Linked DNA regions of Oreochromis niloticus. The protein of the gene in region 1 interacts with the protein of each later gene in a biochemical or structural test. Links are inferred from orthologs where the notes say so. Each region holds a gene or a part of one and is shown in the gene's direction. Other genes may lie near its edges. The genes, in order: atr, atrip, atm and chek2.

Region 1 (7,798 bases):
ACATAGAAATCAGCAGGAACCAAGGTCAGTGCACACCTGCATGCACACACACAACTTCACATTTACAGCACTCACCCATGTGTGATGCAGTTCAAAGGAGAGGTTTGAAATGTAAAAATTAAGGCAAAACAGTGGAGCTTGTTAGGTCAAAACTGTATAACAGAGTCTTCGTCGGAGCTCAGTACACTGGGGTTTAACCCCTACAAGCCTGAACCATGAAATAATCGCCAGAAAACATTTTTTTAAATGAGCGTTTATTGAACCATCTGACAATTTTAAAAAAAGAAAAGAAAATAATTTGAAAGTGTTTGTGATTATATATTTCTTTTCTGTAAGCAGAAAACACATTTGGTGCTTTATTTTATTTTATTTTTATATGTTATATTATATTATCTGTAATCATACAGCCTCTAGGTACAAAAATATGTTACAAATCTTTGAATTTTTTTTTGCTTTTTTCGTAACAAATTAGCTCATTCCTTTGCATGTCTTCTTTACTTTGACCAGCATAACCACAACTGTATTACTTTTAATTGAGAGTGTCTTGCTGCTTCTAGGTAAAAATGCAGTTTTTGATTAAATGGTAAATGGCCTGTATTTGTATAGCACTTTACTTAGTCCCTAAGGACCCCAAAGCACTTTACACATTCAGTCATCCACCCATTCACACACTGGTGATGGCAAGCTACATTGTAGCCACAGCCGCCCTGGGGTGCACTGACAGAGGCAAGGCTGCCAGACACTGGCGCCACCGGGCCCTCTGACCACCACCAGTAGGCAACAGGTGAAGTGTCTTGCCCAAGGACACAACAATCGAGACTGTCGGAGCCGGGGCTCGAACCGGCAACCTTCCGATTACAAGACGAGCTGCCAACTCTTGAGCCCCGATCGCCCCGATTAATTTCCTCTTTCTTGCTTTAACAGTTGATTAACTGCTGTTATGTGTTTTTAGGTTTGATTGCCCTTCTAGAAGATGGAGAATCACTGGAGCACCTAATGTCTCTCCCCCCTGACGAGTTGCTGCTCCGCTGGGTCAACTATCATCTACGCAACGCAGGAACGGAAACAATCAGCAACTTCAGCGAAGACATCAAGGTACCGTGCAGAACAAATACACATACATGTGAATACACAGTGTCATGAGTGTAACCCCATCTTGTACTCTCCCACCGAAGGACTCACGGGCCTACTTCCACCTGATGGATCAGATCACTTCCTGTGAGGAGGATGAATTCCAAATGAAGATAAAAATTGACATGAGCGGCCTCAATGTGAGCCAAAAAATGTTCACATAACAGTGAGAAACTAATAAATGAAGCTAAATGTAAAGATCAACACTTCTTTCTGTCATTTTAACCAGTTTTCTTCAAATTCTGATATGATTATATCCACATAGTGTCTGTTCTTCTATGCATACATGTCTGTGTGTGTGTTTGTTGTGAAGGAGTGGGATTTGGAGAAAAGGGCTGAGCTGATGCTGCAGCAGGCAGCCAAACTGGACTGCAGGCAGTTTGTTACTGCTCGTGATGTCACATCTGGAAACAGCAAACTGAACATGGCCTTCGTGGCCAACCTGTTCAACATGCACCCCGGTCTGCAGAAGTTTCTGATGAACGGAGGCAATTTAGAGCACATAGAGAGTGAGATATATTCACCACTACATCTTGGCCTTACAATTACACGACAGAATCATAAAATGCTGAACTGTACAGTACACAGAGGCATATTAGCCATAAAATCAGCATGCAGAAAACAGACGTAATGCTATGCTAGTTATACGTGCCATAGACCAATAAAAAGCCAGAGATGATAATAGGTTCTTGAGTGTTTGACGTCTAGACTATAGATGAAGTCAGCTGTATGATAACATGTATGATGTCTTCATATAATTCCAGAGGAGACCAGAGAAGAAAAAACATTTCGCAACTGGATGAACTCTCTGGGTGTTTCTCCACATGTGCACCATCTTTACCAGTATGTCATCAGTTATACATAATCATGTTGACCATATCAGTTATTTAGGGTGAATGGACCTGTAAATCAAGGTTCAGCTTCATTTAATGATTAGCATGAGTGTCCTCATATAACATTCTACTGAAGACTCCACAAGAGTAAGATATGGGCTTAGCTTTAATCTTAAATTTTAATGCTTTCCTCATGCAGACAGCATTGAAAATATAGTTTGAAAATAATAAATCCCTTATCTAATTATAAGTGTTATTATTATTATTTATTAGCTTTAAAGCACAGTAAAACATGAGCTCCCTCTAAGACTGCTAAAACTCCATAATTCAATAAAAATAGAGAGGACATGCTCTAAGTGTTCTCAGTGGTGGTCATTTTTTCTTCTTCTTCTATTGAAATCAATTATCTGTGTCATTGTTTTTTTCCAGTGACCTGTGTGACGGCTTGGTGATTCTGCAGCTTTATGATAAGGTCAATGTGCCTGTGGACTGGAAGAAAGTCAACCGCCCTCCTTATCCTGCGCTGGGGGCCAATATGAAGAAGGTACTACATGCTAACAAGCAGAGCACAGTGATGATGACAGGAAACGCACAGCAGTGGGAAATATGAGAGATGCAATGTTGTTTTTTGTTTTTTTCCCTGTATCCCAGCTGGAAAACTGTAACTATGCTGTGGACCTGGGCAGGAATGTTGCCCGCTTCTCCCTGGTTGGAATTGGAGGAGTAAATCTAAACGAGGGGAGTCGTGTACACACCTTAGGGCTGGTCTGGCAGCTGATGAGGAGGTATGTGCACGCAGAGCTGCAGGATGTTTTGCTTGCTATAGTACATTGTTTGGTGAAAACAGACAGTCCGTGGTTTGGCGCTGCTGCTCATTGTATAGTTTCAGTTACCTTTACTTCTTACAATCCTCCAGGTACACAGTTCAGGTTTTGTCCGATTTGGGTGATGGAGAGAGGGTGGTAGATCAAATCATCCTGGACTGGGTCAACAAGATGCTGAGCCAGAATGGAAAGGACACACAAATCAGCAGCTTCAAGGTGTGTATCTTTGTTTGTGAAATGGTTTGATATCAAAAGACTGTGTGCTTTAAACCCCTTTTTGCCTGTTTTTTGCAGGACAAGCTGATCAGCACCAGCCTGCCAGTGATTGACCTGATCGATGTAATCGCTCCGGGAATGGTCAAGTTCCACGTGGTAGCAAGAGGAGAAAATGGAGTGCTGAAGAAAGATGATAAAATCAACAATGCCAAGTAAGAAATAAACTTTTTTAAACTCCCAACCACTTTGGATTTTTCGCTCTTTTATAATTTCCTTACTCCTCTCTCCTTCTGTGCTGCTGCCAGGTATGCAATCTCATTGGCTCGTAAGATTGGCGCTCGTGTCTACGCTCTGCCTGACGATTTGGTGGAGGTCAATCCCAAGATGGTGATGACTGTGTTTGCCTGCCTCATGGGGCATGGTATGAAGAAAGCCAAACCCTGAAGTGGGTACAAACAACACTGAATGAAGATGAAAAAATATATTTGTATTTTACTTTTAAAAAATTATTTTTATTCCTTTACTTTGAGTTTTAACCTCGCCGTGCGTACAAAACAAAAACAGTCTAGCATTGTCTATTATTCGTTTGCAAGAAAAAAAAGCTGTATATCATTTTCCATCAATAAAGATAATTCTTTCTTTTATACGTGATTTTATGGAATATTGTTCTTTGCTTTATTATACTTAACCCATTCTATTTACTTCTTCTGCAATATGAGCCAGAGATCCAGCAGAAGAAAAAGCAGAATTATACACACATCTGTTCTATCAAATACATTTTATGTCTGTAAATGTTGTTCATTAAATATTGCTATTTAATTAATAAAGAGAATCTGTTAAATGTACGAAATACCTGTGAATGTTTTGTGTATCAAAATACAAATTCCTTCTGGACTTCAGAAGTAAAGAGCAAATTGGTTATAACATGTATATTAGTTCAGAAGTGCATGAAATATAATTGAATCAAAAGCCATCAAAAGCAAAAATCTGGATTTTCTACATAGCTTCTAAAAATGGGCATAACTGAAAACTTTAAGGTTAAAAATACTTGAAAGATGGGAGGTGACAATAATCTGACATTACTTGATATTTATCTATTTATTTTTTACCAATTTTCTAATATGTTTCAGTCTCCCCTTTAGATAAGGGGAAGCATCTTATACATCTTGTTTCAAAAAGCTGCATGGTGAATAAAGGAACAGAAACACTTGTGTTTCTCTTGTTATTGTAGGTTCTTTACCTTGCAATATAAAGTGTTTTGATGTGACTTTTGTTGTGACTTGTACTATATAAATACCATTTAACTGATTTAAGAAATTCTACTGTAATTTTAAATTTAGCAACTTAATTAAGACATACATTAAACTCTAATCACAAAATACAACATTGCCTCATGAATAGTAAAGTAACACAGTTGTAGGCAGGCATACACAGTTTCACAAATATTTACATTATATATCTTGTATTATACCCTCTTTTTACACATTATTTACTACTGCAATTGCACTACTCCTTTGCACAGTCTCAGTTAGATTTTTTTATTTCACCTTTTTACTTCTCCTTTGAAAAAAAAAATCACTGTTGTGTATATTTTTACCCTGCCTACATTGTAAGACATTTACTATGGGCCTGTGGTACTTTTACTATTAACAATTAAAAAAAATTTTTTTTTTTTACATATTTTTTCCTGCCGTAAAAGACATACTTTAACGTTACTTTAACGACCAGAGGAAGCTCTTACTAGTTTGCTTTTTGTTTGAGCTTATAGACCCTCGCTGGCTTCCGTATCAAAACAGAAACGTCATTTTGGAGCGAAAGTTTTGGAAAGACTTGACAGGCAGAAGGAGACGTGGAGATGTGTACTGGTTAAAAATGATTAGATAGAGCCATATATTAATGTATTAAAGAGTTTTATCGAACAGGGACATACAAAGTTTAAAAATGGAAGGTCTGGAAATGTCTGCGATGATACCGGCTCTTCAGGAGCTAGCTAGGTGAGTACACGGCTAAAGTTGGCTAAGAGCTAAGTAGTTAACAGTACCAGTCATTTGGGCTAAAGTGAGTCCTCGTCTTTACTTATTGAAGTCGATAAAAACCGTTGCTTCATCATGTCTCTGTGAATAACATCGTGCTGATGTTTGCAGTGCGAGCGCTGCAGAGTACGACCAGGTGGTACAGAAACCTCGACAGATTCTCTGCCAGTTCATCGACAGGATACTGACAGATGTGGATGTCGGTAAGGCGGTGTTATCGACACTTACTTGGGGTGGTCACCATAATAAAAGCCTCTGAAAGGACATCAGTAAAAAACAAACAAACAGCTTTTTGGTGTACACTGTCAGACTTATCTGCTGACACATTCCCTTAAGTTGTTGCTTACAATGACTGCTATTTCCCCTTGCTAATATACTGTGCTGATTTCTTTTTCTTTCTTTTTTTGTATATTTGTCACACTTGCATGTTTCAGATCATCAGACAAATTTTAAAAATAGAGATAGCCTGAGTAAATGTAACATGCAGGTTATGAATTCCTGAAAAACTCCTGTAAAATAATAATACTGATAATACTACTACTACTACTACTACTACTAATAATAATAATAATAATAATAATAATAATAATTATTATTATTATTATAAAAATAGGAAAAAAACTATCCAAACCTTTGTGAAAAAGTAACTGCCCCCTAAACCTAATAACTGGTTGTGCCAACCTTAACAGGAAGAACTGCAGTCAAGTGATGGTGATAAGTTGCAACAAGTCTTTCACATAAGATCAGCCATATTGGAAGTTTTTCAAGCATGAGCGGTCTGTTTAAGGTCATGCCAAAGCATTTAAATTAGATTTAAGCCTGGACTTTGACTAGGCCGCTGCAGAACTTTCATTTTGATCTTTATGGGGTTTTTTTTAAGCACTTAAGACTTCCTGGTGGGTGTGGGATCACTGAACATTATTCTTGGTTCTTTTGTGACTTAATGGATGAGTTGTTGATGCACTCTCTGAGCAATTTTGATAGGCTGTCTACTCCTGGGAATGTTTTCCACTGTTAAAATCCGTGGATCACTGGAGTCTCAAAGCCTTAGAAATGGTTTTGTAACCCTTTCCAGACAGTTCTTTTAACCTACTTCACCTCAGATAGGTTCTATTTAAGGCATTTCTTGATTCAACAAGCCTGGCAGTAATCACGTCTGGGTGTTACTTGTGAAATTAAATTGAGCTTTCAACCAATGTGGTAAATCACAATTAATTCATGATTTAAAAAGGGAGGAATTACTGTTTCAGTCAGGGCCAGGTAGGTTTCGGTAGCTTTTCTTTCTCTTATTTAATGAAATCAAAATTTAAGAACTACACTTTGAATTTAATCAGGTTATCTTTGTCTAATATTAAAATGTGTTTGATGATATGAAATATGAAAATGTCACAAAAAAGTAAGCAGGTTTAAACCCTAACAAGCTCATGTGTGCACATCAGACATGCTTCCTTTATTCCTTAAATTCCTTTATCTTTACCTTTATTACATTTAGTACGCAGAGTTTGTTATAAACCATATTAGTTTTTGTCTTCCCCCCACTTGCATGAATCTTGCCCCTTACTCTACACCTGCACCTGTAACTTCCCCTTTGCAATATGAAGGTGATATAACAGCAGTTCACATTGCTGGCAGGTGTTTGTTCGGCAAACAGAAACCCAGTCTGTGTTAGGAGTTCCAAAACACAAAGAGGGCACATCGGGTGTGACTACAGATAGGAAAAGTACAACTAATATAAACCTGTGTCTGCTTCTGTCTTCTTGCTGCTGTTGTATAAATTTATGATCTCCAGTAGTTTACTTGGTAATTAACTCTTGGCTTCTCAGATTCTTTTGAATAAATATTGTACCTGGAGTTTAAATCAGTGTCTTTCTTTAAGCTTTTTATCATTTAGTGACTTTTCAAGTTAATATTGCAAGAATATTTGACTTATCCTCTGTATGTGTACCAGCTCTTTGAACAAAACGGTTGTCTTTTCTTCCAGTTGCTTTAGGGCTAAATAAGAAGTCCAGCTCAGAGCCAGCCTGTGTGATGCTGCTGGACTTCGTGCAGCACATAGTTAAATCTTCATCTCTGATGTTTGCCAACCCTGCCTGTCAGCCTGCTGAATACCCAGACACCACACAGAGCTGCACTGGTAGGAAATTCTTCTCAAAATGCTGCCATAAGTGATTTCAGAAATTAGAAAAAAAATGAACATGTTTTCCTCTTTCCTTTCTCCTTTAATATCTTCTCATTCCTTGTCTTGATTTTAGACTTCAGTAAGTGGGTGGCGGTGCGTTTCCTTCGTGTGGCAGCAGCTCCAGGCTGTGATATCATCCATGGACGGGTCTCTGCTGTGTTGTGCTCTTTACTTCACACTCTGAGAGTCCGGGCACCATTTATCTTTAATTGCCTCATTCAGGAACTCATATTTCTGTGCCAGGAACTCAGCCATAACCTGTATGCACATATTTGCACACTTGGAGGACAGGGACATGTTTTGGAGATTCACACAAAGAGCCAGTGGCCTGTAAACCTCAAGTGCTTCAGTTTATCCCCCCTCTGTGCCTCCTCATACCTCACCCCCTCTGCCCTTGTGCTCTCCTCACCTGCTGCCTTGGAGTCGCTGACTGCCATAACGATCGACATCATAACTGAGTCTCTGCGGGGAGTCATCTCCCGTCGTGACCTGAGTTTAGCCTGGGAGGCTGCATGCTTCATCCTGGCCAACGGGAACACCAGGCTGAGGAAGGCCTCCATGGTGATGCTGAGAACACTGGTG
Region 2 (7,089 bases), on another chromosome or scaffold:
AGAGATTCACACCCAGCGTACAGTCACCACCTCCACACAATAGCCAATCAAGTCGTGAAGTGGGTGTGAGTGTTAATTGTAATTTTTAGGAAGTTACAGAAATGGTCAGACAGAGTGTTGGAAGTGTCTCGAACAGATCCTGATCCAAGTGTATTAACAGAGGAAGATATTTTCTAAAACAAAACTGACAAAAAATTCTAGCCCTTTCTTGTTATGTCCTTTGCCTTAGCCTACTTGTTTTGCATTGCCCTGCTATTATTTACTACAATTTATCTGTTCAATCCAAGCATCATTCTACAAGTGAAAATCAGTGTGTAGGCAGCACATTGGTGTGGTGGTTAGCACTGTTGCCTCACGAAAGGCACTCCTGGGGTCTAATCTGCCCAAGGCCAGTCTGTGTGGAGTTTGCATGTCCCCCCTGCGTCTGTGTGGGTTTTCTGCAGGTACTCAGGCTTCCTTCCACACAAAAGATATATAGTTAGTGTGGTTAAATTAATTGGTGAGTGTGAATGGTCTCTGTGTGTTAGCCCTGCAACAGGCTGGCGATCTGTCTGGGGTGTATCTTGGCTTTTGCCCTATGGTAGTTTTTCAAATCTTAGTTGATATTTAGTGGTTAGTCAAACAAAATTCCATTGCGGATAAAAATTGTGGTGACTGTTAAATTACGAGCAATGTACGTTGAATGTTACACATGAAACAAACTTTATTCATTCAATTTAATCAGTTGTATTTATAAAACACCAAATGACAACAACAGTTACCTCAAGGCGCTCTATATTTTAAGGTAAAGACCCTGTGATAATACAAAGAAAACAGAGAAACAACAGCAATGATATGACCTCATATGAGTAACCACTTTGGTGACAGTGGGAAGGAAAAACTCCCTTTTAACAGGAAGACACCTCCAGCAGAACCAGGCTCAGAGAGGGGCGGCCATCTGCCATGTGTGGTTCCAGTGCATCATTGGAATACCCCAGTAGCATAGACCTATTGCAGAGTAAATAACTATAGGCTTTATGCTTTATATGGAAAAACGAAAGTTTTAAGCCTAATCTTAAAAGTAGCGAGAGTGTCTGTCTCCTGAATCCAAACTGGAAGCTGGTTCCACAGAAGAGGCCTAAAAGCTGAAGGCTCTGCCTCCCATTCCACTTTTGAATACTCTAGGAACCATAAGTAAGCCTGAAATCTGAGAGCAAAGTGCTCTGATGCGGTACCATAAGGTCATTAAGATAAGATGGGGCCTGATTATTCAAGACCTTATACGGGATTTTGAATTTGATCCTGGATTTCACAGGGAGGCATTGAAAAGAAGTCAATATAGGAGAAATATGCTCTTTATTTTTAGTCCCTGTCAGTACTCTTGCTGCAATGTTTTAGATTCTGAAGGTTGAAGGCCTGTGGTACATGGCCAATTATTAGATATAGGTTGATCATAATTAACACTGAAGCAATAACTAGTGGCAGGACTTCTTTGTTTGTGTACTTGTGCACTTCTCTTACTTGTAAAGATCATTGAACAAAATATTCAACAGATCTATAACCATGTGGATTTACAGGCCACAGACAGAATTTACATCCACAAATTGAATATATCTGAAAATGCTTTTTCTAAAAAAATGTGGTGAGTTGACTTTAAAAAAATATAAAACAAGAGTACAGTGCACTGTTGCTTTGCTTTTAGGCATGCATCTTTGCTTAAACATGAACTGTAAATATTAGTATACCATCCAAAATATTCAGGAATTAATTTATTATGGTGCCATTACTGTACTGGAACAAGCTATCTCTGCATTGCAGCACAGAAACAGTCCGGTGCTTTTTTTGTGTCTTCTAACTGGATCATTAGGCGGTAAGGTTGCTGACTTCTAAAAAAGTCAGCAACCTTACCACCTAATGATCCATGCACCTCAGACCTCTGTCTTTCAGCTTAATATGATCTCGGCAGCCATTAGAAAACCCTTTTCAGTTCTTGTTTTAACACAAATTATTAAAACATGGTTACACAGTGACAACTGAGAAACTGATTTTCTCTATGTTTACTGGATTTTGTGTAATAGTGCATTTCACACATCAACCCCTTTAATCTGACAGCAACTTAACATGTCAGTCTTTGGTCACTTTTACTGAAATCACAGCAGCAGCTTTATTACAGTAAATGTACACACCTTAAAAATCTTAATTAAAATAAATATCAAAATAATGTGTTGCTGATATGTTGTTCTCCCTTCTACAGAGTATTAGTTTATTATCTCAGGCTTCATCTGTGATGTACAATGAAAATAAAATAATTTTAACAAACTGTGAAACTGGTGAGAAACACCCTAAAGGAACTAGTCATGCAGTTGCATACAGACAAATGAATATCTAGCAAAGCACAATGTATGCAGAAAGTGACAAGAAGGAATAAAGCAGAACCCAAATTGACTGTCATGTCACTCACAGTGTGTGCTATAATAAAGTTAAATGATGCAGCTGAATCTGTGAGAAGTCAACAGAGTGTCCCTCACACTCACGAGGATCGTCATCAATTATGTCTTAAGTGGCAAAGTTGTAAAATCCATTAGTGATGCAGAATGAGTGAGAACGAAAACATGCACTGTTGGTCTCTCCTTCTATGTTCTCTACCTTCCCTTTCATCAAAGTGTCCAATTTTACATGCACCTTCAGCTCTTTCTTTAAATGTCACCCACGTCTGAATGTCACAAAGCAAACAGTGAATCGCACGTGTGCAGTGCAGAACAGAAAACCTGACAGGCATGACAGTGAATAAGGTGGGTTTACCTTACTTAATGCTTAATTAAATGTATTGCATTGTCTCACTCTTGGAAGATGGAACTCGTACCTTAGGTGTGGTGTGTGCATTACAAAGAACGTACACACACACCACCATAATGTGAGCAGAACAAACACCTGGATTTTGAGAGGATGTTGTAAAAGAGGAAAGAAAACACACAGGGTTACTCTTCTGCTCTGCAGTCACATGTACATGTACTGTATGTGGGCTTCATTTCATCTGATTCACTCTCAGCTTTGACTGTTTGGTTGTTATGGTAACCAGCTTCCCTGCCAAATATATGTGTTTGTGTGTGAAAGAGTGTATTTATGTTGCTTTCTTAATTTACTCAATTGTCTTTTTAAAACGTGAAGAGATTAATCTGTGCAGATGAGACCTGCAGTGGTGCTGAATGCTGGTGTTACTGGCATCACTGTGCTAGTGATTGCGTGTGTGCGCGCGCGCGCGTGTGTGCGTGTCATGGTGCTGCTGCTCATGAGGATGAAGGGTGCATCTGGATGCCTGTCGTTGAGCTCTGCCATTTCTGTACTGAAGTACGGAGGCGGAAAAAGAAAGAGAGGCAGCGGTAGAGTGAGCATGTGTCAGAGTTAGACATACACGCACACACAGTAGAGCCTCAGCTGCGACACGCAGACCTGTCTGTGTCTAAAAATGGAAAGCACACTTGCTGTTGCTGAGAAGCCACAAGAAGCTTCTATATGAAGAGAGCGTACATGTAGGGATTCATAGGATGTGGATACAAAACTGGCAGGTGATGTCAGATTATACACGCCAACGTGGTGGGTGTTACAAGGGCACCGTTTAATGAATCAAATTTCATTTTTCTTACTACACCCATGTTAATTTCCACTGGGGATGAAGAATATTGGTTTAATGTTATGTAGGGAAGGGTGAATAAGGCAGTGATATTGGACACAGGATAACGGATTTTTTTTTATCACTATGTGGTTGCCATGCAACCACCAGACACCTCAAGAAGGTACTACACGTAAGAAATAGCCCAAATAGTCTCTGCCCCCGCCCCAATTCAGACGCGCGCGCGCACACACACACACGCGCACACACACACACACGTGGGCGAAGAAAAAACATTCTGGGCTATATAATAAGGTATTTCCCTTACTTCCAACCAGTGTTCTAAGGAAAGCTTCTGTCATGAGTTCACCCTTAACAAGAACACTATTATGCGTAGCTACTCCTTTAAGGATACCAATTTGCGCGTTTAGTATAGTTTGTCTCAAACGGGTACCTGTAAAAGACCCAGTTTAAGAATTCGGTGTCAATGATTGGCCGAACAGCGAAAGCAGTGCTATGATTGGTCGCGTTATCAGGCACACCGGAGCGGGATGAACGACACACTTCTGTTTTGTCAACTTTAGTTTTGTGTTGTTTATGTGCTGTTGTACCATATTATACAGCATTTCACAGTTTAATTCATGGGCGCCGTGTAAAGGAGTTCTATTTAAGACACTCTCTATGTCTTTTTAATCAATAAATTCAAATATTGTTTTGACTGAATGAGGTTTTGTAGCTTAGCAGGCTAACTCCCCATTGGAAATCACGGCTAGTTTTCGCTAGCTTAGCTGACAGCAGCGACAGCCAGAGAACCCAGAGGCAAGGTAACACAGTAAAGTCAGAAGAAACGTGTACGTGTTCATGCATGTTAAGCTAGGTTTGTTTAAAAAAAAAAGAAACATGCGTTTTTTTTGCTTCAGTCACATTAGCCTGAGTTGAGTTAGATTTGAGGTTTTTTTTCAATTCCTGAACGTGACTTTGCTTAATAAGTTATTAGCTGATGTTGTACCTAACACAAGTTATTTCAGGGGTAGTCTTGAAGCGCTTTCAATGAATCAGCTTTTATTGTAAAGTACGGCTTTGATTAAAATAGTTATCTTGAGTTATACTAGTTATTCCTAAGTGACCCACACAGTCGCCTAGTCTTAGTGTTTGTGAATATGCATACATGAGAATTACTCACAATGCTAATGATATGTTCCCCCCATGCAGCATGAACTGTCCCCCAACAAAGCGCCTCCGTGGCCTGAACAAGGATGTAGTGACAGCAGTGGCTTTTGATGACCCTTTTGGAGATGATGAAGAATTCACCCAGGAAGTTTTAGATGAAATCGATGATATCGCCTCGCAAGCCATCACGTCGGCTTCGGAAGGGGTAGAGCCAGGGACAGGATCCAAACCGAATGAGCCAGCCCGCGGGTCATCCTGGCCATCCTCCTTTGGGCAGAACAAACCTGTGAACAAAACCACATCTAATCATAGCAGAGAAAATGCATTTTCCTTAAACAGTAGCAACAGAGAGAATGCGGGGATACCAAGTAGAGAACCATTGGGTGAGTATTTATTTTGTATTTTTTTAATCTACACTGTTATTAACAATATTTATGTAAAAATATGCCCTTAATTAAACATCAGAACCTTATGTGTGTAAATTAAAGAAAGACGGGTGGAAAGGTGAAGGTGGATGATTTTAAATAACTCGTGTCATTCATTCAAAGCAATGAACGGTGCACAAGAGAGGTGAAGTAGAGAGTGCAGGAAGGGTGGAGTGAGCGGACATGAGTTTCAGATGTGATTTGTAACAGAAGGATCAGAACGGGAGTGAAATAGAAGGTTTACAAGATGGCAGGGTTTGGAAACGATGTCACTGATAAATAGACAGGAGATGCTAGAGGTGTCAAAGTGGAAGATGTTGAGGTTTTCATTGGGAGTGACAAAAATAGACAAGGTTGGAAATGAGTAAATCAGAGGTGCAGCTCAGGTGGAGTTGTTTGGAGGCAAAGTTAGAGAGGCAAGGTTAACAAGGTTTGGATGTGTGCAGAGGAGGAAGTGTGGATATATTGGACAAAGGATGTTGAAGATGGGTCTTCCAGGCAGGGGAAATGAGAGAGACCACAGAGAAGTTTTGTGGATATAGTGAAGGATGGGCAGAGGGCTGGTGTGAAAGAGGAGGATGCTAAGGATGGTTTGAGATGGAAGCAGATAATCTGTTAGAGTAAACTCTAAAGGAAGCAGCCAAGAGGAGAAGAAGAAGAATTAAACATTTAAATATGCTGTGGAATGTTAATTCCACCGGCAATTACATTCCAGTATGCTTAATTCCTTTTCATTCGTCTTTCTAGTCTACCATTGATTTAAATTGATTTAAATGAAAATTTCAAGCAAGAAAAACTATTTATGTAGCACTTTAAAAAAATATATTTTGCACTTTCATTGTAGAAGCAAAATGAGCTGCATAAAGAATGAGCTACACAAAGAAAGTCTGTATTACAGTTTTGCAGCCACAAAACTATATGGAAAATGTAATTTGATACAATTTTGGTTAGTTCATAGGTGGGCTTGAGCAACTGAATAAATAAAATCTTTACAAATTGCACTCACCAACAGGGCAATAAAAACCGCAATAGATGAAAAAATAATAAGTTAAGCCCTTAAATCAAGTAGAAATAATAAATATGAATCATGGTAGCCTTGTAAATCTGATAAAACTCCCAAAGTAAAAGTAGTGCAATAAGCAAAAAGAAATTGATTAATAAGTAACTGGACTTCTGAAAGGCACTGCTAAACACATACTGATAATGGTGGCACACCATTATTAGGATTTTGTAGGTTATTGCAGTAGCATAAAGGTTATAATGTCTTCAGTAGTAGTAGTAGAGGTAGTAGTAGGAGACACCTGGAAAATAACCCAAGTGGTGGAGCTGATTCATAGTTCATGAAGATGAAGATTGTGCAGGATCTTTAAGAGCAAGCATTCAGATTTTGAAATCTGTTCTAAAATTACTTGGAAACCAGTGTAATAACTGTCCTACATGTGTTAAATGTCACATTTCATTCTTTTATCTAAAACTCAGGGAGCTGCTTTCAGGAGTAGCTGAAGCAAATTCAATTATTTTTTGATATTCATGCAAGCAGCACATTAAAGTACCTTTTCAGTGTTTTCCTTCTATAAAAAAAACCCTAATCTGTTGTAGTATTTCTTGAAATATCATAAAAACTAATTTCATATACGAGATGGAGAATAAATATATCACTGTCAGTGTTCAGAAAGCATTATGCTTATGTCTACACAGTTCCTGTGAGGGTAGTATTCTTTTTAAAGGCAGTTATTTAACAAGATAAACCACATGCAATTTTATCTTCCCAGTCCAGAATTGAAAAGGTGTGAATTCCATCTCATCTGTTCCTGTTATTTTTTCTTTATCACGTTAAGAAAAGTGTTTTGGATCTTCATCTGGCACAGAATCTGCTCCTCTATGTAACCAAAAGCCAGTGGGCAT
Region 3 (6,960 bases), on another chromosome or scaffold:
TATCTGCAAACATAAATTTATAAAAAGTCTTACAATAGTTCTTTAGTTAAACTGTTACAGACAGTTGCGAACCATTATTTAAAGGAAAAGACATTAAAGTAAATGAGGTCATAGTTACTGCAGTCAAAGAGGTCAAAGAGAGCCTGAAAAGCTGGGTCGGACTCAGTTTGCTCCAAAATGTCATGGATGGCGTCGTCACTCATATGAATTTCCCCCTGTATACGTGAGTGAATACTGGTAAATTACACAGAAAAAGTGAAAACACTACAAGCTAAATTTTAGGAAAAAAGAAAAATAAATCACCTGTAATCCTAGTATTTCATCTATAGACTGGTCTGTCTCCACTGTACTTGAAGAACCCTTTGATGTTTGGGGCACTGGCTCACTGATAGTAGTGATGAAACAGAGTAGGAAACAGCACAGTCATTATCAAAAACTGTGCACAATACATCCAAGTGCACACAAAATGAAGAGTCCTGTTGCGTTAATTACTTTGCAAGGATTTTGTTGATGTTTTCAGCAAGCTTCTCTTGTAATGACCTGTCACCCAGTATCTTGTCACGTGCGTTTTGTATCACAAGCTGCTGTAAAGAGTGAGATGAAACAGAGAGTATGTCATTTCTGATGCAATAAAGTAATTTTTCTTTGTATCTAGAGACACATAGTGATATATGACCATTCAGCAGATCAACAAGGTTTTAAACAACAATGTCAGTGGATTTGTTAATATGTGATTGAAGTGTAGTCTTTAACTTGTCTCTGTGATTAGGAAACCTAGCATTACTGACATACTTACAGGGAAGTTTTCATCAACAACCTCTTCAGGTTGGGGTTCTGCACTGCTGCTGCCAGCAGGTGTAGCAGATCTGCCAGGGGCACTGGAGCCACTCAGAGCACCACTTCTCTTCCTGGGGGTGTCCCTGAAGACAACAGAAAAACATTTTAAACAAACCATGGGAATAACAATAACAGCACAATAAAGTCACTGTTAAACAGAAATATCACATGCTGAAGATCTAATTAATCAATCAAGTTGGGGTGACCCAGCACAGACAACATTCCAGGTTGAGTACACATGGTTATCGGCGGTCCTGCCCACTTTGCATCAAAAGCATGTTCTTTTCGTCGCAGTCCCTTGAAGTCGCCAAATATCACTTTCTATGGTCTCTGATGGCTATATCACTGCGGACTGCTTCCAGTGTGTACACACATTAAGGAACAACATACTGATATTGAGTCATTTAGATAAACAGTGACACAGTCTTGTGACTGATTAATGTCATGTGAAATTCACTACAATCAGCATTTTTTTTTAGCTCAACCAGCCAAAGGACCGATTAGTTTATGACATGGCATCTGATGTCCTCTCCATCCACAGTTCAGAAGGATCACTACTCCTTCTAGATTGGTCAGAACTGAATCAACACAATCCCCAACTGATGTATTTTTTTTGTGCTCAGGATCACAACTCTCATTTTACGGTAAACACCCTGTGAAGTTTGACGAATCCTTAGCAAGAAAAGCTACTGAATCATTAACATTCTGGATTATGCAACACACCAAGTACATGTTTGTTGTTTCTGCAATCATTAGTCACATTTTCTGCAATGCGAAAGGTTTACTCAGTGGTACTGTAAAGTCATTGTAACAGCAAGGTCCATGCACAATTTGTGTACAATGAAAGCTAATTTTTCCATCCACTTTAGATTAGTCTGTCTTTAGCACTCTGGACAGATGTTTATGTAATAACACCTATAGTAAAGCATTAACAACTATTCTTACCATTTCCTTCGACCAGGAGACATTGGGCCTGGATTTAGCCGATGCTCTGAAACAATGATCTGCACGGGTGAATCCCCTGTAATGAACAAGTTTGAATATTTATTATTAAAAACTACATTTAATACTTAGTTAGTATGTGTGCATTAAATGAATAATGAGCTCATAGAGCGTTGCTATCTCCTTAAAAAGCTGTGATCTTAGCATCACTTTACTTTAGCATTTGTACTCAGTTGTGTGTTATATTACTGACTGGGTGTAGTCATTAATCGGCTGCTGTCATGAATATGCTGGCTTGTGCCACTGCCAGATGCTGGTCTGCTGTTCAGACCACTGTAGCACACTGGGGTGGAGTGGGCAAGCATGCTGTGGGAGGTGTGCGCTGGGCTGATGATGGTGCTCGTCTCAGAAACCGATGAACAGACAACACCACCCGCAGAAGCCACGGCAAGGACCCGCTGTCTAGCCATGTTTGCCAATCCAACACGTGAACGTGCTGCAACACACAGAAGCTGATAAGTAAATAGGTTACATATAAAACCTGAACGCTGAGGCACTGTTTGACAACTGTAAGTAATCATGGTGCCAATTTCCCAATTTGATGTATAGACAATTCAGAAGTTAATTGGGTAACATGCCAGTTCCTGAGGTTTTAGGAACAGGCAACTATAATCACAATAAGCTCATGATTAGGGAAGTCCCTTTTCAAACAGTTTCTGTTCCTACGTTATAGGTATATTTCTACATAAATGCATCAATGCATTAAACCTGATGCTTTCGGCTACATCACCACGTATTAGCCCATTACATAACAACAAACAACCTGACAAACTTACTTCTCTGACATGCTGATATAGCAGGGGAATTCTGCAATGACCTAAGGAAAGATGCAGAAAAATATTCACATATTAATTCACTGCACCAAGTTTTAGCATTGAGAAACACAGCAGCAGATGTTTATGATTCGTCTCACAACAACATACCAATCAACAATAGAAAACGATATGAAATCATTTTTCAAAATCAGCCCAATGCATCCTATGCTATCACACAATTATTAGTGAAGCTCATTACTTAATCTGGTTGAGTGTAAAATCCAGCTTTTTCCACAATGAAGTCATCACGACGGGAACCTCATGACAAGACTCTGTTGAAAATATGAGTAATCATCAGCAACAAAACCATGACATATGAACAATAATCGGTTATAAAATACTAAAGACATCCTCTGGATGGCTTACCTTTTGTTTTAGCAGCTACATACTCATTTAAAATGGTCGTCAGGCTCTTCCCAAAGATGGACTGTGTGAGGAAAGATTAAACAGAAATGCAGTCAGCTGCCATCATGACAGTTCAGGCTGTGGAGGCGGCTTACAAGAGGGAGGAAGGCACACTTACAAAAACGCAAGCAGGAATAGTCCCATCTCCTGTGGTGTGCTCGGCATACTCTTTCAGGTTGGGGCTCTCATGAATGAAAGCTTGGCTTGTAGCTGACAGCCCCTCTTCTTGGAGGTACCCTAGCGGAAGGACATTAGTAGCACCTTAGTCAGCAGTAACAGTTACCCTCCAACTGCAGCCCAATCAACCGTTAAGGCTGTGAGACTAAAGCTACCCATTTACACTCGACTGTCATTGCTGGCTAACCCCACAGCTACTCGTCTGCTATGGACGACCAGACTTACCCAAAACAAGCCGAGCGACGTCAGACGGTAGCAACATGACCGACTACTTGTTGGTAAAAGCGGCCTCAAATGTGAAAAGGTAACTCCATGTTCAGGAAAAGTCTCCGAGAAGCTCGAAAAACTGTCTGAAATGAAACCACGTCAGTGATATTATTGTGAAGGCGACGTCTTCACAATACTGCTTCTATACTCAAAAGGCGGGGAACTCAAGCACGTATAACCCGGAAGTACCAAGACCAAGCTATCGATTAGAATTGTGGTAGTTGTAGTCCAAATAGAAAAAGTCAATCTGGATAACGTTCTATAGTGTCTTACATATATATACTGTAATTTATAGGTTGAACGTGACTTCAGCATGTCGTATACCACTTCAATAACACAATACCTATTAAAAACATTAGGTTTATTTTCATGCTGATAGAAAAGTGAATGGACTCACTCAATACCAGGCATAAGAAGGAAGTGATGTGAGCAGTTGAGCCTTGCTGCTGGGGCGGGAATATTTTATGCGTGGGTTACGTGTGCGTGCGTGCGTGTGGCTCTACAAGATGGCAAAGTTGTCATGGCAGGTACAGTAGCGGTGTGCCTTAACTCAGCTAACATCTGCACCTGCAAGTGTGACAACTCCGCAACTGCAATCACTGCAGTCATCTGAGGTCAGTGAACAGCGCAGGTGTTTGAATGGACATTTGTGAATGAAGTTAAAAGCTTAATCTGCCAGTTTCGTGTTGCTAAAGTAGTTTGCATGAGCAGTGAAGCAGTGAATAAAGTGTGGGTCGAATGGTAGAAATCTACAATGTCTACTAAGTAATAATAGTGTAGGTATAAAGCGGATGAGTAACAACTTTTGTCAACATCCTGTCCCTCCAGTGTGTACATCCACGGTGAGGCACAATGAGCCTGGCTCTTCATGATCTCCTGGCCTGCTGCAGAGCACTCGAGAATGACAAAGCTACAGAGAGGAAGGTGAAAAAGACGAACTACTGCCTATCAGTTGTCCAAATAAATGAATTCATAGGCGATTCAATGTACTTTAAATAGGTTAAACAACTCCCTATTTAGCTTATTTTAAAATAACAGAGGATAACTAACACTGTTGTCCAGTTATCATGGCAAAGCAGCCCAACACCAGTAACAACCACAGTTATCCTTTAATTCACTTCTTTTAGTTACTACCTTCAAATCAGGGCTCTTCTTACTGTAAAATATTGAACTCAGTCAGAAGCTCAGATTGCATCGCTTATACATCTGCTGAGCATCAGCATCTGTCCTGCCCACTTGCAAATAAGATGCAATTTGCCTGTGGCTTGCACCACATCAATTTTGCACTTTATAAGTGTACAAAGGCAGTGCGATGAATAGCTGAAAGACTCTAAAATCAGTAATTTTTCTAAATAAAGGTTTATTTACTTTCCTGGCACGAGTAGCAACAAAAACAAAATAGGATCTGCCAGTCATCTTGGTATGTTAATGGTCTGTATAGCCCCACAAGTTCTCAGTTGTGACACATTATGCGTATTTATTGAACAGAATTTCAAATCCTGGTTCTTCCTGTTAAAATGGGGGGTTTTCATCCCACCCTCGCTAAGTGCCTGCTCGTATTGGGTCGCTTGATTGTTGGGGTTTTCTCCAATACCGTTGGGTCTTTAACTTACAGTATAAAGAGCTTTGAAGTGAATTTTGTGGGGAATTGTCCATAATTAAATAAACCTGAATTGATTTTAATGTTTTTTTAATCAATGCGTTGTAAATGCTTTTTATTTCATCTCGTAATTATTATCAGAAAGAAGCTGAGCACTTCAGACGGCTCCTTCGATCTCCAGAGATTGTGCAAGAACTCGATCGTAACTCATCAGCTAAAGCAAAAGCTTCCAAGCAACTCACATGGGATGCTGTTTTCAGGTAACCTGCATCAGAGTATTTGCAACCATATAAATACAAAATGTATATATCTATAAGGTGTTTCCAGAGAAGGGACTATTTTCTACCTTTTTGCATCTTTTGAAAAGTTCTTAAATAAGTATTTGCTCTTATTTCATATTCTGCAACATGCTCGTAACTCATAAATGATTTTAGCTAAAGTTAGCCCATGTACCGGAACAAGTGGCTTCTATAAATGAATGCTCTTTATTCTGCTTGGCATTTCTTGCATCAGGTTTCTGCAGCGCTATGTCCAAAAGGAGACGGAAAGCATGCAATCAAGCAAATCCAACGTCACGGCAACCACGCTGGCCACGCGGCAGAAGAAGATGGCTGAAATATGCAGCCTGATCAAATACTTCATTCGCTGTGCTAACAAACGTAAGAGCAGGAGCAGGTTGCAATATGTTTTGGGTGAATGTATGTCGTAATAAATTAGGGAACATTCATGTATCTTTATATTTATAAGTATCTTTCATTAATTCATCAGACACAGTAGAAAAAATATTGAATGAACTGTGGGGACTGCAGTTAAGAGTGTCCTCTTCTTCCTCCAGGCGGGCCTCGTCTGAAGTGCAGTGAGCTGCTGAAACATGTGCTGGAGGTTCTGCAGAGTTCGTACTGCTGTTCAGCCTATGGAGAAGATTATAGCAGCCTCCTTGTAAAGGACATCCTCTCTGTCCGCAAGTACTGGTGTGACATCGCTCCACAACAGTGGCATAGTCAGTGGGCTATTTGGAGTTTTATTTTATAAACATGAGGAAGCAGACAAAAGTAAGAATTGATGGATCTGTGTTTATTCTTGATCCTTAGATCTTTTGGACTTGTACTGTGGTTTGTTCAACTCCTCGTCCAGACCCATCAACCGCGTTTTGGTGAGCAGAGTGATCCACACGGTGGTGCAGGGCTGCTGCATGCAGACCGATGGATTCAATGACACGCTGTTCAGCTTTTTCTCCAAAGCACTGCTTAATGTCAGGTGAAAACTTTTAACACCGTTTTAGATTTGCGTTGAATAAATGTTCCGGTATTAGTCGCTAAATTTAAACACTATGCATTCTTCGTATCAATCGTATCAGGCAGGAGAAACACTTGGCTGTTTTGGAGCACCTTGTCTCAGCTCTGAACATCTTCTTGAGATCTGCAGCCATGAATTGTAGGATGAGGCTGTGTCGACTGGGAGAGGAGCTTCTGCCTTCCATACTGTACGTCTGGGCAGACATGAGGCCCAGTCCAGCTCTCAAAGAGGAGATTGTGGAGTTCTTCAACCTACAGATTTGTGTCCACCACCCCAAAGGAGCCAAGACACAGGACACAGGTTCTTCTTTTAGAAACTTAATTTTAAATGTTGATTTCCAGTGTTTGTGGTTAATAGTGGTCGGAGGCCAGGCTACACTCACAAACCCTTTGTTAGGTACACCTTCCTTTCTGGTTCGTCTTCTGCTGCTGTAGCCCATCTGCTTTAAGGTTTGACGTCTTGCACATTTTGAGATGCTCTTCTTCACCTTGATGAAGACCATCCAACCACTTTGTTTTAAGAAGGGCATATTTGAGTTTCCTATCTCTTAGAACAATATAA
Region 4 (6,904 bases), on another chromosome or scaffold:
GTTGTGGCTGATGGCTGTGTGTGTCTGCAGGTACTGACCGGATGGAGGAGTGGGCGTGGCTTGCCATCTTGTTCAGGTAATCGGATGCCACCTGAGCATTTTGCCTCATCGTCATGACGACCTGAGACTCCGCCGACTTCAGACCGCTGTTCTCAGCCCGCAGAGAATCAACCTCGGCCTCAAACACACACACACACACGCTGATACACACAGCCAGCAGATTATCGATAATCGATGATTCATTCTCCATCTCACCTGCAGCTGCTGTAGCTCCGCCTTCAGTTTGGAAACGGCATTCTCCGCTTTCACCGCTCGCCTCTAACACGGACAGACGTAGAGCATTTTTACACACAATCACACACCTGTTCATGCAAACACTGTGTGTGTGTGTTTGTGTGTGTGTACCGTCATCAGGTGGAGGTTCTGCTCCACAGAGTGAACCATGCTCTCCAGGTCCTGGGCCTCCTTCTCCTCCTGACGCCTCCTCTGCAGCAGCTCCTCCGAGAGCTGCGACGCCCTGGGAGACAGGGGCATGCTGGGTAAATGATTGGTCAGCGACATGGCGGCTCTGTCCTGTGATTGGTTGGTACAAACCTGCGTTCATTCACTTCTGCTCTCCTCTGCAGCTCCCTGACGGTCCTCCTCAGCGCTGCGTTCTCCTCCTTCAGCTGAGACAGAACAGGAGCTTGTTAACACCCCTGTTCTGCTTTGTCCCACGCTCCCTGAACTAAGCGCTCCGTGGTTGGGTTACCTGTTGCGTCTGGCTGCTCCTGGTACTCCTCCTCCTGCAGGAGGTGGCTGACTCAGCCATTGAGGTCTCATCATCTCCTTCATAGTTCTCTCCTCCTCCTCCTGCACCTCTGCCTGCAGCTTCTTCAGGTTTGGAGGAGAACCTGGTGACACAGGTGAAGGTGACCTCACGGCAGGTGGAGTTTCATCTGCACAGAAGCTGCTCGGAGGTCTTTACGCCCCGCACTTCATCAGACTCACCTGGTCTCCTCCTCTTCTTCTTCCTCCTCTGTGCACAGGGAGGAGGTGCTGTCAACGCCTGACTGGAAGCTCCGCCCCCACTCCTCCTCCTCCTCCTCCTGATGAGACAGACAGAGGCTGTGTGCGGCGGGTCGGGTGTATCCTTCGTGGTCCACGCTATCCCAAGATTCACTGCGAATCTGAGGTTGAAAAAATGTTTTGGAAAAAATGGCGGACGGTCAAAGGGAAGCGGTCCAGAAACGGACGAATGTTAGCATAATGAAGAATGTGAAAACACGTTAAACTCAGCTAACCTTCAGCTAAGTTACTTGACGTTAGCGATATCTAACATGGCTCGGGTCGTACGAGCTTTGGTCGGTTTGTCGCTGTGAAGCCAAACGTACGTCAACGTTTACAGTGAGCAGACGTTCAGGCTGTAAGCCAAGTGTATTTACGGGGACCAAACATCTGGCCCATGGACTGTGCTGAGGACACAGACTCAACCATGCTGCACTGAAGTTCTCATCCTGTATAAGCTACTACTGATAAGACAGACAGACCGTGTGCTTAGAGGAGAAAACTGTGTGTGTTTCATCTGTTAACAGATATTTGATCAAGTTTTCTGCCTTTGTTGTTAACGGCCACGGTTGAGTCCAGAGTCAGGAGAGAGGAGACGGCACAGAGGCTCTCCACCCCTGATGATACACCGGGACATCGTGTGAGGAGGAGGAGGAGGCAGCAGCAGCTGAGACATGCAGAGGATGATCTCTACAGTCGGTGGAAACACTGAAACAGTTTCTAGATATTTGCTTCGTGTATTTGCAGAAGCATGTCCAACACAAACTGTACCAGCTGCATGCAGGGACGCGCTCGCTGATGTTTATCCTGCAGGACAGACAGAATACAGGGAACTACACACAGCTCTGATTGGTCCACAGTGTATTTAGTTCAAATATTGTTTGTTGCACAGTTTTCTCTCCAATAAATAAATATCCATGTATCAGTTCATGTTCATGTTATGTGAAACATACAAAGGATCACATGTTTAAATGTGACTTTCAGACTGTGGCTGCAGTTTATTTATATTTGTCTTCGAGACAGTCGCAGGGATTCAATTTGAACTGAAATGTACGGAATTATATTCCATAACCAACGCACTGCTACAGTTTCATGCTATCGTGGGTAGGCAGAGCCTAAAGAAGCACGGGCTCCCGGTGTGATTGGTCCTTTTCATGGACACTTCAGGTTACACTGTGGCAGCAACAGAAACGCTGTTTTAAACTGTGCAGCCGTGGAAATACTGACACCTGTCAGTGGGTTGTTGATGTCGAAGCATGGAGGAGGGGCCTAAGGGAACATGTGTCACCATTCTACAGCCATTCCCCAACCCTCTGTGAGTGGGACTCATCAGTGGGTTAGAGTGGGCCATTCTGCTGTGTCAGTCGTTATGCAGATGTCCTGTTTATAAGGTTGGAACCTGCAGTCAGCTGACACTGAAGGAGTCAGCTGATGATGATGAAACTCCCACTGAAAACGTCCAGATGAACACAACCAGCTTTTTGGGATTTCCTAACCTGGATGACTGAGCGTGCATCAAGGCAAGGCCACGGCTCTAGCTGCTACTGTCGCAGTTGCTAGGCAACAGGAACTGCTTGTCCACTTTAACAGGTCTGTACTTCTGGTGTTCGTGACCTTGGAAGGACCCGCCCTACGTAGACCGTGTAGGTCCTTCCAAGGATGCAACCCCTGAATGTGGACACAGCCACAGGGCGTTCCAAAGCGTCTCCTATCCCCTAACCTCTTTTCCTTGACCCCGGTGAGGACTCAGGAAAAGAGAAAAGTGGTATGCTGAGAATTGGAACGACCTCACACTTGTGTCTGCTTAACAGCGTGACGCCGGATCCCCAAAGTGTTGAAACTACAACAAGCAGAAGCTGGACTACAAAACGCACATCTGACTCCATGCCGTGCTATAACCTCATTGGTTTGTGGAGGTCGTTCAGAGGAGGAGGAGCAGGTAGGGTCAGATGACGTCACAGAGCACAAACACGTGTTGTGTCACTGCAGATGCTCAGAGTGGGTCTGTGCTCACAGCTGTGACACGCGTGTGTTTGTGATGGAGTCACTGTTTTCTGCAGATTTTGAGAAACAGCAGCTGATCTCAGGTCATCTCTGCTGTTTCATGAGAACAGTTACTCAGCAGCATGAAGTGGGCTGAACACTCAGCGTGGGACCGATGGACGGTTTGAGGACAGAGCCAGAGTCTGAGCTGTGAGTCGATTACACGCTCGGCCCACAGCGATCACATCCATGACCGCCACAGCACAGCAGTTTGAAGTTTGTGTCACTCTTTTAAATATGCACATGTACACGCATGTCACAGCTGTGAGCACAGACCTGCTCTGTGTTTGTGCTCACTGCTTTACCGGAGGACAGAGGTGCACCTCCAGCTGTGCAGCTCTGACCTCAGTGCGTGCCTGCTCCGGGTCCGGGTCCTGGCTCTTCCAGCGCAGAAACTCTCTGAAGGAGAACGGGTTGAGCTCCTCTGCCTCCTCCTTCACCTCCTCCACCTCCTCATCTGCACACACAGAACAGCTGGAGCTGTGACGGAGGCTCACATGGAGACTGCAGACCTCCCCCCCGACACTCACCGTCTGTGATGATCAGAGTCTTGCTGCCTCTTTGTTTAGACATGTCGGACTCGCAGACAGACACGTGGCTCGCTCCGCCCCCTGGCTTCCGTTCACGTATCGATCATAACTATCGATCAGCCTCTGAATCCTCTCTGCCGGACCAAACCAAACCCGGAAACACCAGCTGACGGCTCCCGGTGCACGTGATCCACATTCCGACTTATCATTGGCTGGAACTACTTCCTGACGTCAGAGAAAAAAATAGGCCACAAGGAAGCGCGTGTCCCGCAGGGTCCCGGTCAAGAAATCGAACCACGTGTCGCGGTTCGTGGATGCGGTTCGTGGACGCGCAGAGACCCGGATGCTGGTTCTGGCTCGGCTGAGTGCAGAGAAGAAGGCGCGCGGAGACTGACAGCACCGGCGGGGTTCCGGTTTCACGGTGAGTGGGAGTCTCGGACACGCGGTCTGTGTTTGCTGCCACAGTGGGGCGTGGGGATGTTGCACTGTGTGCTCTGGGGCCACGACGAGCCCACGGATGTCCAAGATCCTGTGGCTAGTGATGGGTAGATGAGGCCTCGTGAAGCGTTTCAGCACATTCCCCAAACTGTATTGATACTGTGTCGACACAGTGTTGCTGTTTTGCTCCATACTGACACCTGCTGGACCGTAAATATCATTGCAGGGAACTTACTTGAGACTCACAACAGACACTGATTCAATGACCTAGTCATACTTGTACACTGTAAGGTATTGTACTTTCCATGGAATCATTTTATATCTTTTACGTTTCAAATATTGTAGACATCTTTAAAATATGTTGTGAATGACACTAAGTGAAAATTAAAATGAAAGTATTGTGAATGTAATAATAAATTTGAGTCAGAGTTTATTATAAAATTCTATTCAGAAAAATAAGTTTATTCAGTGTTTTTGCATTCAGTCTATTTCTTTGCAAACTCCTTTGACATTCAGTCTATTGCGTTTTTTTGACCCCATTTCCCCAGCTTTGGAAAACTCACAGGCACAGATGAAGCTGGGGTACAAAAACTGTAAAGCCAGGTGGAAAAGGTTCTGATAAGATGTCTTCCTATTCCCCCAGTACGTTAAAGGATCCTCTGATCTTGGAATGTTTCTGTCCGACACTCTCCACAATACTAAGGGGTTGGAAGTCCTTTATAATAAAATTCAGGACTGTCTGGTCCAGAACAGTCTTCCTAGATGCTTGATTTCAAAATAATAAAACACATATTAATAAAAAAAAATGATGATAAAGCTGTTCAGTGTCAATATAGGCTGACCTGTGTTCATTCTCAGTGTGTTTGTCTCCTCATTTTCATGTTTGGCTCTGTAATGCCTAAACACTGAGGATAGATTACACTGAAACAAAGACAGACAAACTATTACCTTATTTGCGGTTAAAAGATCAAAATGATCCCACACAGCAGAAACATTTCTTTTTCTTTCGGGCTCCATTTTGTTATGGAGAGATGTGTTTTGTTTTTTGTTTTTTTAATCTTTGCGAGAGTAATTTTGTGGGGGTTTTTTTGTTTTTTTTTTGTGGCGTCTCGTTCCGTTGACAGACGCGGATGCGGTACTTTTTAAACACAGTTTGGCGCGTTGGCAATGAGCAATACAGCAGCTGTATCGATCACGTGACTTTTTCTTAAAGCGACTCACGCACCGATACAGGCTTCGCTAGGTGAGCTTGATACATGTGTCGGTGCGTCAGTGTTGCAGGACCCATCACTACCTGTGGCAGAAACCCAAACTCTTCTTCTCTTGTTCTTGATTTTGTCTCTCATGTGTCTGCAGAGCTGAAGGATGTCTGAAGAGGGGCCACCTCAGTCCCAAACCCAGTCCACTCTGTCCCCGTCCCAGGCCAAGTCCCAGTCCCAGTCCCAGCCTGGTTCCAGTTCATCCAGTGGGCCCACCTCAGCCAGTCAGTCGTCAAGTGGCTCGGGGACTCTGAGCAGCGTGGACACCATCCCCGTAACGCTCGCGTCCGTCCCAGAGGAGCCCGAGCCGCAACCCTGGGGCCGCCTACTGCCCATGGTCCCAGGCTTCAGGAGCCACGGTACCGCTGCTCACAACACGCCGACGCGCTGGCTAGTTCTCCATTCACTCTGTTCTTAATCAGATTCCACTAAACTGAACATATTGTGCTGTGTCTGGAATTAGTAATTACTAGAATTAGCAGCAGAATTAGCATTATCAGCCAGCCGAGCTCCCCTGTTCCATACTTTAAACAACACATGAAGTAATCAGGATACTTCTGTTCAGCAGACAGTGCTTCAGGTGTGACTGATCTTTAGACTGTAGATAAAAGATGGACATGGCATCCTGGTTTTTCAACTCCTCTTCCTTTTTCGAGCATGGAGTGACCAGAGGATGAGCTAGCTGCTGCTGCTAATTAGCATCCAAATAAAATCCCGGAATTGCAGGTTTTGTAATTCCACTGGGTGGGGGGTGGGGGGTGGGTTGCCGAGAAGACTGCATAGAGGAGCACTTCCTGTTTGTTTGTTTGTTTGTTTGTTTACAGACTGCATAGAGGACCAGTACCTGTTTGGACGGGACTCCAGGTGTAACTACGTCCTGGAGGATCCAAATGACCGAAATTCCAGAAAGTTTAGAATCTACAGCAAGAAACACTTCAGGATCTACAGAGTGAGACTACTGCAGTACTACTACCACTGATATTAGCACTGATCGTACTGTGAGTACTGCGCTCACGGGGCTTTAACGTCGCCCTCTCCACCTGTGTGTGTCAGGAGGGCTCGGAGGTCTTCGTGGAGGACCTCAGTAATAATGGCACTTTTCTCGATGGGATTCCGATCGGGAAAGACAAGAAGCTTCCTCTGGTCAATAACGCCGTCATCTCTCTGGCTGAACAACGAAACCGAGGTGATTCCGCCCACCAGAGCAGCACCTGAAAACACCTGGACACCCTGGCGCCGGTCTCACCTCCTGCTCCTGTCTCTCTGCAGTGTTTGTCTTCATCGACCTGATGTCGGACGATCAGTCCAGCTTACCCAGAGACCTACAAGAGAAATACTTACTGACCCGACGCATTGGCATGTGAGTTGTTTCGTGGCGTTGTGATGTCATTTCCTGTGCCGGTACCACCCTGCTGACTGTGTGTGTTTCAGAGGAGTGTGTGGCGAGGTCCGGCTGGCTTTCGAGCGATCCACCTGCAGGAAGTTTGCAGTGAAAATCATAAACAAGAAGAACTTTCAGTCTGAAGGGGTGAGTCGCGTCATCTGCTCTCTGATTGGCTGAGACCCGCTGCTCGTTTCTTTCGACTG

Evidence for each region.
Region 2: the proteins of atr (region 1) and atrip form a complex in vitro, tested with the Homo sapiens proteins (4 studies listed by BioGRID and IntAct, with this or other methods). The link is inferred for Oreochromis niloticus from reciprocal best matches to the Homo sapiens genes ATR and ATRIP.
Region 3: of the proteins of atr (region 1) and atm, one has a biochemical effect on the other in vitro, tested with the Homo sapiens proteins (2 studies listed by BioGRID, with this or other methods). The link is inferred for Oreochromis niloticus from reciprocal best matches to the Homo sapiens genes ATR and ATM.
Region 4: of the proteins of atr (region 1) and chek2, one has a biochemical effect on the other in vitro, tested with the Homo sapiens proteins (2 studies listed by BioGRID). The link is inferred for Oreochromis niloticus from reciprocal best matches to the Homo sapiens genes ATR and CHEK2.

Annotation. Positions count from the first base shown.
Region 1 is NC_031983.2:20,161,117-20,168,914, reverse strand, and holds the start of atr (serine/threonine-protein kinase ATR), read left to right. Parts: upstream 1-4,780; 5' UTR 4,781-4,945; coding exon 4,946-4,998; intron 4,999-5,148; coding exon 5,149-5,240; intron 5,241-7,018; coding exon 7,019-7,171; intron 7,172-7,289; coding exon 7,290-7,798. Other genes in the region: pls1 (plastin-1), read left to right, coding at 1-24, 953-1,095, 1,176-1,271, 1,445-1,640, 1,896-1,974, 2,394-2,508, 2,616-2,749, 2,881-3,004 and 2 more. UniProt on the Homo sapiens protein: Serine/threonine protein kinase which activates checkpoint signaling upon genotoxic stresses such as ionizing radiation (IR), ultraviolet light (UV), or DNA replication stalling, thereby acting as a DNA damage sensor.
Region 2 is NC_031970.2:11,844,762-11,851,850, forward strand, and holds the start of atrip (ATR-interacting protein), read left to right. Parts: upstream 1-4,079; 5' UTR 4,080-4,440; intron 4,441-4,801; 5' UTR 4,802-4,802; coding exon 4,803-5,142; intron 5,143-7,089. UniProt on the Homo sapiens protein: Required for checkpoint signaling after DNA damage. Required for ATR expression, possibly by stabilizing the protein.
Region 3 is NC_031979.2:14,487,818-14,494,777, forward strand, and holds the start of atm (serine-protein kinase ATM), read left to right. Parts: upstream 1-3,950; 5' UTR 3,951-4,117; intron 4,118-4,331; 5' UTR 4,332-4,355; coding exon 4,356-4,427; intron 4,428-5,244; coding exon 5,245-5,363; intron 5,364-5,616; coding exon 5,617-5,762; intron 5,763-5,938; coding exon 5,939-6,103; intron 6,104-6,194; coding exon 6,195-6,360; intron 6,361-6,460; coding exon 6,461-6,699; intron 6,700-6,960. Other genes in the region: protein NPAT, read right to left, coding at 1-3, 119-215, 304-385, 493-584, 797-920, 1,783-1,858, 2,033-2,275, 2,616-2,656 and 4 more.
Region 4 is NC_031977.2:37,556,280-37,563,183, forward strand, and holds the start of chek2 (serine/threonine-protein kinase Chk2), read left to right. Parts: upstream 1-3,902; 5' UTR 3,903-4,041; intron 4,042-5,414; 5' UTR 5,415-5,423; coding exon 5,424-5,676; intron 5,677-6,141; coding exon 6,142-6,266; intron 6,267-6,370; coding exon 6,371-6,503; intron 6,504-6,586; coding exon 6,587-6,677; intron 6,678-6,748; coding exon 6,749-6,845; intron 6,846-6,904. Other genes in the region: entr1 (endosome-associated-trafficking regulator 1), read right to left, coding at 39-178, 256-318, 406-517, 595-668, 752-893, 991-1,169, 3,396-3,547, 3,621-3,663. UniProt on the Homo sapiens protein: Serine/threonine-protein kinase which is required for checkpoint-mediated cell cycle arrest, activation of DNA repair and apoptosis in response to the presence of DNA double-strand breaks.